Linked DNA regions of Rattus norvegicus. The protein of the gene in region 1 interacts with the protein of each later gene in a biochemical or structural test. Links are inferred from orthologs where the notes say so. Each region holds a gene or a part of one and is shown on either strand. Other genes may lie near its edges. The genes, in order: Dyrk1a and Dcaf7.

What was found.
Region 2: the proteins of Dyrk1a (region 1) and Dcaf7 form a complex in vitro, tested with the Homo sapiens proteins (2 studies listed by BioGRID). The link is inferred for Rattus norvegicus from reciprocal best matches to the Homo sapiens genes DYRK1A and DCAF7.

What each region holds. Positions count from the first base shown.
Region 1 is NC_086029.1:47,464,715-47,471,319, forward strand, and holds part of Dyrk1a (dual specificity tyrosine-phosphorylation-regulated kinase 1A), read left to right. Parts: intron 1-3,886; coding exon 3,887-4,193; intron 4,194-5,188; coding exon 5,189-5,313; intron 5,314-6,605. UniProt on the Homo sapiens protein: Dual-specificity kinase which possesses both serine/threonine and tyrosine kinase activities. Exhibits a substrate preference for proline at position P+1 and arginine at position P-3.
Region 2 is NC_086028.1:91,470,748-91,478,049, reverse strand, and holds the start of Dcaf7 (DDB1- and CUL4-associated factor 7), read right to left. Parts: upstream 4,151-7,302; 5' UTR 3,923-4,150; coding exon 3,785-3,922; intron 1-3,784. UniProt on the Homo sapiens protein: Involved in craniofacial development. Acts upstream of the EDN1 pathway and is required for formation of the upper jaw equivalent, the palatoquadrate. The activity required for EDN1 pathway function differs between the first and second arches.

The DNA.
Region 1 (6,605 bases):
ACCTAGCAGCACATGTTAGTGTCCTACAGCCTCCTCCACTCACGTGTCAAAGCCCTGCTGGAGCTGCAGTGACACAGACTTTCTGTGAGCCTTCCCCCACCTGCAGAGATGATGGTCATGTGATCCTTGCTCCCGCCACTCATTAAAGAGTGGATTTTTTAATAGACATGCAATATTTTATCCTGATCTGTGATAAAAGCACACTTGGTCCTGGCATTTCATGTAGCACTGAGTTAAATGCTGGTCTGGTAAGAGTGGTATTCTCATATGTAGTAGTGGTGTTCCTGATGTAGCCTGTAATTTGTTTTTTTTTTTAACAATTATCTTGAATCTTGTTCCGTTATTTCAAAATATTTGAGAATTTTCTAGATATCTTAATTCATCTCTACTTAAATAGCACCGTGTTTTCCAAATGTGATTTCATTTATTTAAATTATGTAGAGTCTGGTTTTACAGTCTAGAATGGACTCTGTCTTGGTGATTCTTTTCATGCGTATCTGATAACGGAGGGGTGTGTGTGTGTCTGTCTGTCTGTCTGTCTTTCTTTCTTTCTTTTCTCTGTCAACATCCGAGGGGCATTTTAACCTTCAGTGATGTACTAGTTACTTTTCTTGTCACTAATGCCTGGCAGGAAGCAACTTCGTGGAGTATGGCTTTTCTTCAGTGCACAGTCTAGGAGCACTACCTCAGTTCTTCAGGCAGAGGTAGTTCACTGCCTGTTTGAGCTGAGGCTGTTTGCTCGTGGATTTGCTAACCAGGAAGCAGAGGCAGGCATGCAGCTGAGGCTGGGCCTCCCCAGTGCGCTGCCCCCATCTTAGCTCTGTCTGCCTCCTGGAGGCTCTTCTGCCTCTCCAGTCTGAGCTATGCTAGGGACCAAGTATTCAACGCACGGTCAGATCACTTTGAACCATTACAGGCCGTAGTTATGTTGCAGTTGTCTTTAGTTGTGTCATGGTTTTTAAAGGTTTGTTGGTAGTTTTGTTGTGATTTCTGATGAACTGATGCTTATATTGTCATGAAATGTCCTGTATGTGTGTTAGTGCCCTGCCCCGGCAGGTTTTTTATCCTGACAATTTGCATGCGTGTGTGCGTGCATGCGTGCGTGATGGTTGCACACATGAAACTCCTCAACTTTAAACCTTTCTCATCAAGCATGACTTATATGCAACATATAGGCAGGACTTGTTTTAACATCTGCTCCTTTTTACAGTGAATATTTATTTCATTCAGAGCAGTGGGTTTAAGGTTTGTCTTTCATTTAGTTTGTCTGTTTCTCCTTCTTGTTGAGTTTGGAGCTGCTGAGTGCTCTGGAGACTTGTTTTCTCAGCTGACTTCTCAGTTGTGTGTATAGTGTTCAGTGTTGTCTCACAATATGCATCTTTATGTCAGGTTGCCCTTAGATACCTACGCTTTATCCCTTGTATGTTATAACTCCCTTCTAGCTCTTGAGTGCTTGTATGTAAACATCACTTCTGCATGTCTTAGAATCCTTAGAACACATCGACTGTTTACCTCAAGGAAAGGGAAGTGCTGTAGGCACACTGGGTGAGGAGCCCTTGCTGCCATCTTGTATCCGTGTCCCGCCTGTGCCCAGCTTTTTCAGTGCGCAGCTTGTGCTTATGATTGGAGCATCTGCTGCCTCGGGATACAGCTAATCGCTGTCTGTTCTTAAACTGTCTTCACGGGTCAGAATGCTAGATTAGCACGCCCAAGAAAGATGGTCTGCCTCTTTCTTAGGTGCAGTGTGAGGAAAGTCAGTGTTTGTTCTTGGCACTATTTATTGTGATGTGGTTTTCCTTTCCCTTCAGGGTGCTTGAACAGGTTATCTTTATACTTGGTTATTATGCATTTGTGCTCTTTGATTTGTTTTGTGTGTACTCTCAGAGGGTGTTGAAATCCTTGGGTTTGTGAACTGTGCCTTTTGTAGCACCTCAGGTGTTATCAAATGGTTATCCTGACCAGTCTTCCTTCTAGTTGTCTAGTTCCGTGGATGCATGTTCTGCCATGCTCAGTGTTGCCCTGAGATCCTCAGGCTTCAGAGGGGCGTGCAGTAGCACCTACCGTGCTCTTATGTTTTGAATTTGGTTAATATTTTTGCTCTGTTTTTTGGTCACTTTTTTTTTCACCTTGGCTCCCTAACATTCCAAATCTATTCTGCTGTTGGAAGTGTTCAGCAGGCTGGAGAAATACATGTCATGGGCCACTCCTTAAAATCCACCTAAATGGAGGATGTATTTTTGGTACTTTTGTCATCCCAGTGGGGGCTAGGGGCAGGCAAGATGGAGACACCCTGAGGTTCCAGGCCAGTAAGAGACCTGTCTAAAGAAAGGAGAAAGTGACACTGGGGCTGCTTGGTCACAACACGCAAATGTAAAGCAGGGTCTCCACTTAGTATTTTACTTTAAAAATTCATATTTGTCCTTATTTTTTACAGTTTCTCCTTTTCTGAAATCCCATCTATTCATGCATGTTGCCTATCTTCTATTAAACTATATACCTTACACATTTATTACTAAAGTTCCCTGCCTGCTAGTTCCCTGCCTGGGAAACGCCGGGCCATTTGTCAGCACGGATTGTTGACTCATTTTCCCCACTAAATTATAGACTCTGTTATTTGTTTCTGTAATTTTTTTAAAAAAACCTTTTAAAAAAGTTTCAGTTTTTCTGTATTTGAGGATGGCTGACTTGTGTCATTTCCATGAGAAGCAGACACGTCTCTTGTACTGTCAGAAAGGTCTGAGTGTGGGTGTTTAGTGTGTGACTCAGGTTTATTACCATCTGAGGAGGCTCCTTCAAGCATTGTTTGCTTACAACTGAAGGAGGCTCTCAAGCTCTGGACACACTGCCACTCACTAGCAGCCCAGGCATTGTCCTAGCGCCTTTGCTGCCTTCCCTGAGTGGCTGTTAATGCCTTGTCAGATCAAGGCTGAGTTACCCTTGCTTGGGTCTGGCAAGGTGGCCCCTTCTCCCCTTACAGGACTCTTGTAACCTGATAGCAGCTCTTTGGGGCTGGGATGTGGTCAGTATAAGGACACTTGCTGAACATGTACAACTGTGATTTGTCCTGTTTCCTGACTTTAAACAGCAGTTAGCATCTACTTAGCGTTTGTAGAAAGGTGGAAGACGACATTGTTCCCTGTTACTGATGAGTATCAGTAAATGCCATCCTGTGGTTAAGCAGCTCATGAACCATTTTGTAAAAGAAAAGGAGCAGTCAGCTTTTCTCTGTCTGAGTAGGTTTGGGTGGACTGATCCCTCTACTTTGAGTGACATGCACAGCTTTACTGAGCCACCTTTAGGGAGGCAGTGCAGCATGTTCTTTGGTGCAGAGCAAACCTGGCATTGTGATGGGCACTTTAATTCCAGTTGCAGCATTTGGGAGGCAGAGGCAGGCAGACCCCCATGAGTTTCAACCTAACCTGTTCTATGTGTACTGAGCTGCAAGTCAACCAAGACTACACAGTAAGACCCTGTCTCAAAACACACATTACTTAGAGAGTGAAGCAGGTCAGAACCCATTCTGCCCTGCTCTGTGGAAGCCATCATGGTTGGAGATTTGTGGATTTCTGTGTCTTGCTCTGTCTTTGCTTGCTTGTCTCACAGCCTTGAAAGCAGGAGCCATGCTCCTGAGTGAAGCAGCTTTAGAAACCTGGCTTCGGGCGGGGCCAGAGGGCGGGGCTGCTGAGCTCCGCTCTGATATGCCTTGTCTTTGGTTTTGCTCTTAAAACCATACTGAGCATGGGTGTTAGGTGGGCTGGGGGTGGGGGATCTAGCTATTTCAATAATGGTCTTTCTTCACAAAGCCTTGTATATTTGGAGTAGATCATGTAAATGTTACATCTCCTACCAAACTTAGAGACAAGTTTTTGTTCTCTCTTCTCTACAGGAGTACAAACCACCAGGAACCCGTAAACTTCATAATATTCTTGGAGTGGAAACAGGAGGACCTGGCGGGCGGCGTGCTGGGGAGTCAGGTCACACTGTAGCTGACTACTTGAAGTTCAAAGACCTCATTTTAAGGATGCTTGATTATGACCCCAAAACTCGGATTCAACCTTATTATGCCCTGCAGCACAGTTTTTTCAAGAAAACAGCTGATGAAGGTACAAACACAAGCAACAGTGTGTCCACCAGCCCTGCCATGGAGCAGTCCCAGTCTTCAGGCACCACCTCCAGCACCTCCTCCAGCTCAGGTCAGCGGGGTGGGGGTGGGGTGGGGGTGGGGGTGCACACAGCGGGCTGTTTGTAGCTTTCTGTTTGCTGGGGGCAGGGGTGTTTCCTTTCTCTTTAGGTTTTTTGAGCTAGGGTTCCTCTCTGTAGCCTTGGCTATCCTGGACTTTCCTTTGTAGACCATTCTGGCCTTGAACTCACAGAGATCCTCCTGCCTCTGCCTTCTGAGGCTGGGATTTAAGGCCCAGTTCCAGTGTGGGATTCTTTCAGAGTATTTATTATAAACTAATTGTTTGAATTTGAATTTTGTAAATGGGTAGCAAGGGATTGTTTTACTTTAATCTGTTCTGTGTGTGTCTCTTAATTCAGTCTCTGTATACACCTGCCCGGCTGTATAGTTAGTAGCAAATTAACTGTTAAATGAGCACGTGATCACTATCTGCCTGACAGGTAGCAACAAAGCTACTTATAGCCAAGTAAATGGACTTGAATGTCCATTTAAATGGACTCTGTCCTTGAATTTTTGCTTTTCTGAGGAGAACCTGGCTGTATAACAGGTGATGTAGGAAGACATCTAATATTCCAGTAGCTTTGTGGTATATTTCAAGTTAATACCGTAGCTTGAAAGTTTTGTGTATCTGCATATGTGCTGTGTAGTACATGCACGTATGTGTGCATATGTACACACCTAAGGTCACATGTAGGGGCATGACACTGTGTGTCTTCCTTATTACTTGGAAATAGGAGTCCCACTGCACCAGAGTCCTGCTGTTGTATCCAGGCTGCCTGGCCAGTGAGTTCTTGGGAGTGGCACCCCCTTCCCCAAGTCCTGGGGTTCATTCAGGCCAGGTTTTTATATGAATGCTGGAGACCCACACACAGGTCCAAGCACTTGCAGAGCAAGGACTCTTACCTGAATGTCCTTTTTACCCTGAGTGACAGTAACGGCAGTCTTAGATACTAACTTGAGCAGAATTAGCTTTAAACTCACAAGTTATTCCGTGTCCTGATGTTAAAGGTGGATCCTCGGGAACGAGCAACAGTGGGAGAGCCAGGTCGGATCCGACGCACCAGCATCGGCACAGTGGCGGGCACTTCGCTGCTGCTGTCCAGGCCATGGACTGTGAGACACATAGTCCCCAGGTGAGCGTCCCAGGCTCCTGCCACGACCCCACTAGCTTTGGCTGTATGAGCTGCCATGGGCTGTCAGGGTGACTATGTGTGTGTCCTTCGTTCTAAAGGCATGGAGTGTCCTTACTGCTTAGCAAATAAAACTCCGCTCCTTGTTAGGAGTGAGAGCACACATTGGGTAAACACGCTCTCCACTGTCCTCCCAGGTGTCCTCCACTGTCCCTCCACTGTCCCTCCACTGTCCCTCCACTGTCCTCCCAGGTGTCCTCCACTGTCCCTCCACTGTCCCTCCACTGTCCTCCACTGCCCTCCACTGCCCTCCACTGCCCTCCACTGTCCTCCACTGTCCCCCCAGGTGTCCCCAGGTTTATCTTCTCACTTGCCACAGCGGCTTCTGGATGTCAGCAGTTTGCTCCCTGCCTCTCAGTAGGTACTGAGACCTCTAGGTGCACCGTGAGTTTACTCTGTGAGCTGTGCAGTCTGGACCCTGTCGTTAGCCTCTCGGGGCTTCTAGCATTCCTCATCCTGCTTCTGAATCAGTTTGTGATGCACTTTTTTTTTTCTTCTTTTTCTTTTTTCTTTTTTTCGGAGCTGGGGACCGAACCCAGGGCCTTGTGCTTGCTAGGCAAGCGCTCTACCACTGAGCTAAATCCCCAGCCCCTGTGATGCATTTTTAACCTTGGAAGTATTTGCTTTGCTTTTTAAACTTACTGACGTTAATAAGTGTAATAATAAAGTAATGTTAAGGTTTGTGTGGAGCATGTAGGAGGGTAGAACTGTAGAGATGCCATCTTAGCTATGTCTCATTGCCATGGTAAAGACGCAGGTAGAAACAGTGTCAGGATGACAGGGTGGACTCTGGCTCTCAGTTCAAAAGGAAATCATACATTATGTCAGGGAAGACGTGACAGCAGGCAGGGGAAGCAGGGTGGCAGGGTCAGGAAGCCTCTGCAAGCAAGAAAGAGGAAATGGGGCTGCGCTATAGAGCCTCGAGGCCTACCCCATAGAGCCTGGAGCCCTACCCCATTAGAGCTTCAAGACCTGCCCCATAGGCCAGCCTCCTCCAGTAGAGGCTTCACCCCTGTCACTTGCTGCCAGCTGGGGACCAAGCATTCAAACACAGGAAGGAGGTGTTTACTGTTCAGACAAGAACACAGAACCTTAATGAGATAACGCCCCTCTGCACTCTGTGCTACATTTTGATTCTTTGTTCGAGAGGACAGTCGGTTATTTGTAGAGTAAGGAAAATCTGTGCTAGATTGGTGGTCATTCCTTTGTTGTGATTGGGCTGATTGGTTCTTGTG
Region 2 (7,302 bases), on another chromosome or scaffold:
GGAGGAGGTCTAAAGGGAGAAAGGAGGACAGAGATGGGAACGGAACATATTTGGCAGGAAGGCAAGTGGGAGAGCTGCTTAGGAGAAGAGGGGACAGGAAGAGAGAAAGACAGGGAAACAGGGTTGGGAAGGAGGAAGGATCAGAACAAAATATAATGAATGGGATGTATGAAAATACCACAAGACATTCTTCTTTAAAATAACAGAAAATTAATTTTAAAAAAGGGGAATGTACAAATTGCTTCCATTTATACCTTTATTGACAGTAAATAAGTGCCAATCCTCCCATATCTCTGAAAACATAAAAATTAAAAATAAGCTTTCTGCTAATCTAACAGGAAAAGATGGCATGTTTTACACCCGTTTATTACTGAGGTTGAGCATAAGAACTCATCATGTCAGCTCTTCCCTCCATCTGTTAGCCTCATAGCTGAGGGTTTTCTTGTCTCATTGCTCTGGTGGGAGCTCCTCTCCAACAATGCCTACACTCAGGCCTCCCTTCCCACACCTACTCTTTCTTTCTCAGTGTAATTTCTGTTTTCCCCACTCCCAGCACAGGGATTGAATCCAGGACATCGCACACACTAGTCAAGAATCCTACCCACTCAGCTCTCTCCTCAGCTTTGTTTTCACTTTTTAAGACAGGTTCTCACAAAGTCAACCTGGCTAGCCTTAACTTCGCTCTATAGCCCAGGCTAGCCTTGACTTCATGCTCCCCTTCTTTAGGCTCCCAAGTAATTGGCAACCTGTCCTCCTCCTTCTTGTCCCAAAAGACTTTTCCCTTTGTCCAACAAACTCCTGTTGTGGAGAAGTGCAGTTCTGCACTATAGCCTTCTTAGGTCCAGCATCCTACCACTCTTCCTTACACATTGAGGGAGGGCTGGAAATTAGCCCTGACAGCTGTCATCCTGCGACGGTCAGTCTTTCCCTCCAGTCTCCCCCTGCTCTGCTGGGTCTCGTCTGACTCCTACCTTCAGTGCCTTGTGCGGCCACTCTTCACAACTTTCTCCAACATGTGAGACAAAGCCCTAGAGAGGAGAGCTATGAAGCAGAATCATGTTTACTCATTGAAAAAAAAATATGTTGGTGCTTTAAAAAAAACAGTCTTGCTGTCTCTCCCAGACTGGCCTTGAAGCTGGGACCTACTGAGATTTAAGGCACATTACCACCCTTGGCCTATTTTTTTCCTCGTTTTTATTTTTTGAAAGATTGCTTTTTAAAATTTTGTTTATGTACAGAATGTTTGACAGTCATGTGGAAATCCTTTAAATTTTTATTAGATTTTGTTACGTGTGTATGTGTATTTCACCAATGCCTGTTGGTTCCCCTGGAACTGGGTTATGAGCCACCATGTGGGTGGTAGGAGTTAGCCCTGGTTCTCTGTAAAAGTCCTCCCTCTAGCACATGATAGTCACAGCCATGCCTTCCCCAGTTCGTGTGGCTTTGGATGAGTTGTCTGCTTCGTCTCAGTTTCTTTCTGTGTTAAGATGAGGTAGAGTCAGATAACTTAGTTAGAAAGGTTTTTGTTCTTGTTCTGCGGATTTAACCAAGGACCTCGTGCATGGTTTGGTTACACCAACAGCTTGGGAAAGTGATTAATGACTCCAAGTGTTGGTTGATTTGAATAACACAGACATTTATCCCACACTTAAATGACCACTATGGAGTTCCACATCAGCACTGTGTATCCTAAAGTGGAATAAATTCTCTCTCTTCACAGAGCTTATGACAACAAACAAAGAAGGAGATATGGCACTTTTATTTTAGAAAGACAAAACCCACAAGGTAGTGGAACAGGGCGACATATGTTGGTAATCCCTGCCCTTGGGAGGTGGAGGCAGGTGGATAAGGAGTTCAAATCCCACCTGGGCTACATGAGACTGTCCCAAAACATAATAACCTCTTAAGATAGGAATGGTATATGTTTATTATCCACAGAAATCAAAGGAAAGATGCATGCTTCTAGGGTTTTTGTTTGAAACAAGGTCTTACTTTGTAACTCTGATTGGTTGGGAGCTCACTATGTAGCCCAGGCTAGCCTCAAACTTATAATAATCCTCCTGCCTCACCCTTTCAAAGGCTGGGATTACAGGTGACAGCCACCAGGCCCAGCTCGAGGGTTATTTTATATTACATACTTGCTCCTCAGGAGGCACTGGATATGTTCATAGTTTTAAATGAGGCACTGGAGAGATGGCTCAGCTGACAAGAGCACTTGCTGCTATTGCAGAAGACCTGTGGTCATTCGGTTCCTAGCACTCACACTGGGTAGCTTACAACAGCCTGCAACTCCAGCTCAGGGACACCCTCTTCTGGCCTCTGCAGGCACTCAACTTCTCCTTTTTTAGATAAAAAACTCTGGAAGAACTTAAAAGGGGAAAAAATTAATTTGTGTGAAAAAAACCCCACAGTCCTTTGAGAATATTTTACTTTTACTTCTAACAAGAATCCTTAAATAATATTTCTAGTGGTCTTAACCTTACAAACACTACAGACACCAGAACCCTGAAACACAGCTACAGGGTTATTGCCACTGTGGGTGGAGGGCGGGGGGGAGGGGGACAAAAGCCACTAGAGAGGAGAAAAGAAATAAGGCTCTTCCTTAGGAAAGGGCAGCTCAGTACACACTCCCTGGGACTGTATATGTGTGGTGTCTGGGCAATCAAAGTCCATTCTTTTCATCCATTTCTCAAAGAAGACTCCAAAGAAACGGGGACCTTTACCCAGAGAAACATGTGTGCTCCTGAAATACTATAAATGAACCTAAATATTCAAATGTTTTCACCTGGACCTTCACATGTAAAACATGTAAGCCCTCTCAGAAAAAATAAAAATTCGGTCTGTGCAATGCCTTATAGTTAAATCCTAGACCATCTACTTCTTCCACTCCTCCCCCCCATCTTGTCATTTGTCTCCAGTCTGATGTTCATAGGAGTAAGCCAGAGTACTGGCTCTAAACACCACTGGCCACAGCTTTCTGTAGCTCTGATTACTGTCGTTCGTATTTGTTTTCACCCAAATTACAACAAAAGAATGAAGGTAAGAGATTAGGGAAAGAAAATTCTTCCTAATACTTTCAAACCTATATCCTGCATATAAAAACTCTCCTTCTACCAGCATTTTGTTGGAGTGATGATGTCCAGCAATGTTGCAAATCAACGTGTAAGGAACAACGAGAAGAATAGGTCAAACGTCATCTTTCTCTATTCAGAAATAATGGCGGGATAATGCCACAGACTAAGGTTTCCAAGGATAGACTGTTTGGGGGAGGGTGAACATCGAGGAGCAAAACCAGTGACCAATGACAACCTAGCACTAGGGCTCTGTATCCATGAGAAACACCTGAGATGGGGAAGATCTTGCAATAAATAGCCCCAACAGAAATCTCGCGTGGCCAGGAATGCACGACCACCAATCCAAGCGCCCGCATCTTCCTCCACTGCCTCTCTCCCGCCCCCCACCTAGCAACAGAAGCACTGCGACAGAAGTGGGGGAAATGAGAGGGACGGAGGAAGACATGGCTTTGGGGGGTGTAACTCCGGTCTGAAACCTGCTACTACCATCAAAAATCTTATCTGCCTCAGGCATGTCACAACACCGTGCCTCGGTTTCCCCGGCTGTCAAAACTAAATAAGAGGCAACGAGTGTGACACCCTCAGCAACAGGACCTCAGAGGACCCACCCCCTTGTAAAGGCGAGTTCGCAGGAGACTTGTGAGATCTGGGGCTGCCGCCCACCTCGAGCGTTCCTCGCCAGCTACAAGCTGAGCCCCCTCACAACTTACCTTGTTGTTGTACTCCTCCACGAAGCTGCCCAGCGCCAGGCGAAAGCGCTTGTCCGGCCGCACGCTCCAGTTCATGGCGTACACAGTCCAGGGCGCTTCATATTTGTAGATCTCCTTCCGTTTGCCGTGCAGGGACATGGTGGCGGCTGGGCCGCAGAGACGGCCGGAGAGGCAGCGGGCTGAGGCACAAGACGGGCGGGGAGCGGGGCTTGGGTCCGCGGGTCCGAGGGGAGGCGGGGCCCGGGCGGTCAAGAACGGCCTAGCCCTCCAGCAGGTCCTCAGCTACACACACACACTCGGCCGGGCCGGACCACCAGTTTCAAACCAGCTCGGGCAGCGACTACCACCTTCCGTTTGGGATGTCGGCCCGCCCTCTCGGAACGGAAGCCACGCGACCCCACAGCGGCGACGAGCGTTGGCTACCGGGCACGTCCTTTCTAAACTGTTCCTTCTTTTCATTGGTCGACACAGTGGTAGCGCCCGCACCCTCCACACAATTGGTCAAAATGTTTGTCATTCTACTTATTCGCCCCGCCCAGCTCCTGGAGGCGGGCTCTTTTGAAGTCCCAAAGATCATTGGCTACCCAAGATGTCAGTCAGACGGATAACGGCGCAGTGCGGGTGAATGGGGGCGTGGGTGACATAGGGGCAAGTGTGCCCCGCTACTGATCCACATTCTAGGCCAAGAGTAAAGCCTGCCACTTCTCCATTGCTGCTGCTGTTCTGATCGCCTCTATCCACTGAGAGTAACGGTCAAATCCACTTTCATAGATGACCTCCTGCCTTTATTTCATCGCCCTAAGTCCAGCGGTCCCTCAGCCTTTGCCAGCCGAGAACTCTTTCTAGCTCCAATGCCCCCTTTTTAACTGTTCCCTTACAGGCCTGATAGAGACCTTCAGGGACAGGCTAGTTTGATTAAGGCTTTCAAATACATACTAAAAAGACTCCTGACTTCTAGGATTGATTTGCAATGGACCTGGCTTTTAGTAACTTACCTTCCTCTCCTGGGGTGTTCAGAACCCAAATGCTAATCCAACCTTAAATATCTATATGCCATGAGTTTGAAATGCAGAAAAGCCTGGATCTAGGTACACCATTATAAATGTAAATGCTTTTAACGATATTGAATGCTTAGGCAGCATTATAAAACACAATTTTTAAGATACGTTATTTAATTTTATGGGTATTTGTATGTGCCTGAGTGGAAGTGTACCACATGTGGACAAGTGTCCACGGAGGTCGGAAGAGGCATCTGATCCCTTGGAACTGGAGTTACAGATGGCTGTGAGATACCATCTGAGAGCCAGGGCTCCAAGCCACGTGCTCTGCACGAGCATCCAGTGCTCTTGAGGTCTATACTATATCTCTCCAGCCCATAAAATACAACTTGTAATGCATGTGATTTTAACAGAAACAAACACTGGGAGCCTCGAGGGACAGGGTATACACTTATCAATCATCTTTTAGTAACGGCCACCCGTAGGAGCAAGTCTACTCTGCACTTTTTTTTTCTTTCTTTCTTTTTTTTTTTTTAATACAAAGAGCCTACCCCTGGTGTTGCAGACCTCTAACCCAGCTCTTGGGAAGTAGAGTTAGGAGGATCAGAAAGTCACTGTCATTCTGGGCTACAGAGCCAGTTAGAGGCAGTCTGAGCAAGTTGAGAATGTTTCAAAATAGTAAAAAGAAAAAAATTAAAAAGTAACTGGATGTCTAGGTATGTATTTTATTGAAAAGTTTGTTTCTGTGCTTATCAGGAAAGTTGGTCCATGATTTTCTATTGGTTACACCATTTCTGATTTCTCAGTGGGCTAATAATGACTTTGCAGAACGGTCTTAGTAGAGGTCTTTGTATTTTATGCAACAGGTCTTTTTTAGAGGTGGGTAGACTTTGGCAATGAATCCATCCAGTCCTGGGCATTTCCTGGCTCAGTGCTGCTTCACTTGTTGCTTGCTATGGATCTGATTAAACTGCTAGCATGCTCTTGATTTAATTTTGTAGGTTATATATGTATAGGAATTCACCCGCTTTTTTCTAGACTTTTTTTTTCAGGCATAGAATATAAACTCGAAAGGGATTCCTAATGGTCCTCTGAATTTCTTTGGAATCTGTTGATGTCCTGTGACGATTCCTGACTTGAAAGACTCTGGAGTCGCTAACAAGCTTTGGAGAATGCGTGGAAGGGATTATTCAGATTGGGTTTGTTGGAGGCTCACCTTAACTGTGGGCGATTCCATCCCATGGTCTGGGGTGCCCTGAGTGTGGGCACCCATCCCTCTCTGCTTTCTGGCTGTAGACACAATGTGACCATTTGGTTGACAGACTGACTTTTATCCTGTGATTACCAGTCTGTAGGTGTCTTTGCCATTGAAGTGGTTTTGGGTTGCTTTGTTTTGTTTTGAGGCAACAGGCAGTCCGCTCTTGGTTTTTAAATGTTCGTTGGTGAGTTCAGGGTATTTCCAGTTAAGATTATTATTGACAGATCCTTGCTAATGTCTGCAGTTGTGTGGGTTGGATTATCTTAGTATGTTGTTCTGGTTCCTGGGCTGCTACCCATGCCTGTTCTCTCTCAGATTCTGCAGTGCTGCATTTACAGGCATGAGCTACTTTTAAAAAAAATTGTGCCTAGGAAGTGCAAGGCCCTGGGTTCGGTCCCCAGCTCCGAAAAAAAGAACAAAAAAAAATTGTGTGCAGGTATGAAGGTGAGAAGGTACACATACATGTGTTTATGAGTACATATATGTGTGTGCATGCTGAAGCCAGAAGGTAACCTTAGGTGCTGTTCTCAGGAATGCTACCCACCTCCTTTGAGACAGTGGCTCCCTTTGACCTCGAGTTCAATAATTAGGATAGAATGGCTGGCCAGTGAATCTCAGGGATCCTGCTGTCTTAGCCTCCCACCCCCACCCCAGTGCTAGGATTGCAAGTACATACCATCACTGCAGGGACTTTTATTAGGGTTTGGGGGTTCAGGTCCTCAAGCATTTTACCCACTGAGCCATCCTGCTAGCCCCCACATGTTGCTTTGAATTAGCGTTGAAGTTTCACTAAGGGTACAAAGAGTGAACGTTTTAGTTCGTGTAAACACTTGCAAACGTGTGCTCGTATATTCACAGACAGACTCTGAGGCACCAAACAGAAATCGCAAAGGGAAGGAAAAATGGACTCGGGGGATGGATTTGCACTTTCTGAGAAGCAATGACGCTTTAACAGGTTTCTCGAGCGAGGTGGCATGGATTGAAACTGTGTTCTCCCTTTTCTAGTGTGCTAAGTTTACCTTTTTATTGAAATATCATTTACATATGGGGGTGCGCATGTTTTTCCAACCAGCACACATTCATATACATATCGCCAGAAAGCAAATACTGACATGCCCGGAAGGCTTGCTCATGCTCTGCTAAGTGCCACAGACTCTGCTACCAACCCAAGACCTCTCATGAGGACAGTAAAAATGATTTCCTAAGGCTCTTTCGAGGGTTAACAGAACAGCTATGTGCAGGACAGAATGGTGGAATGCTGA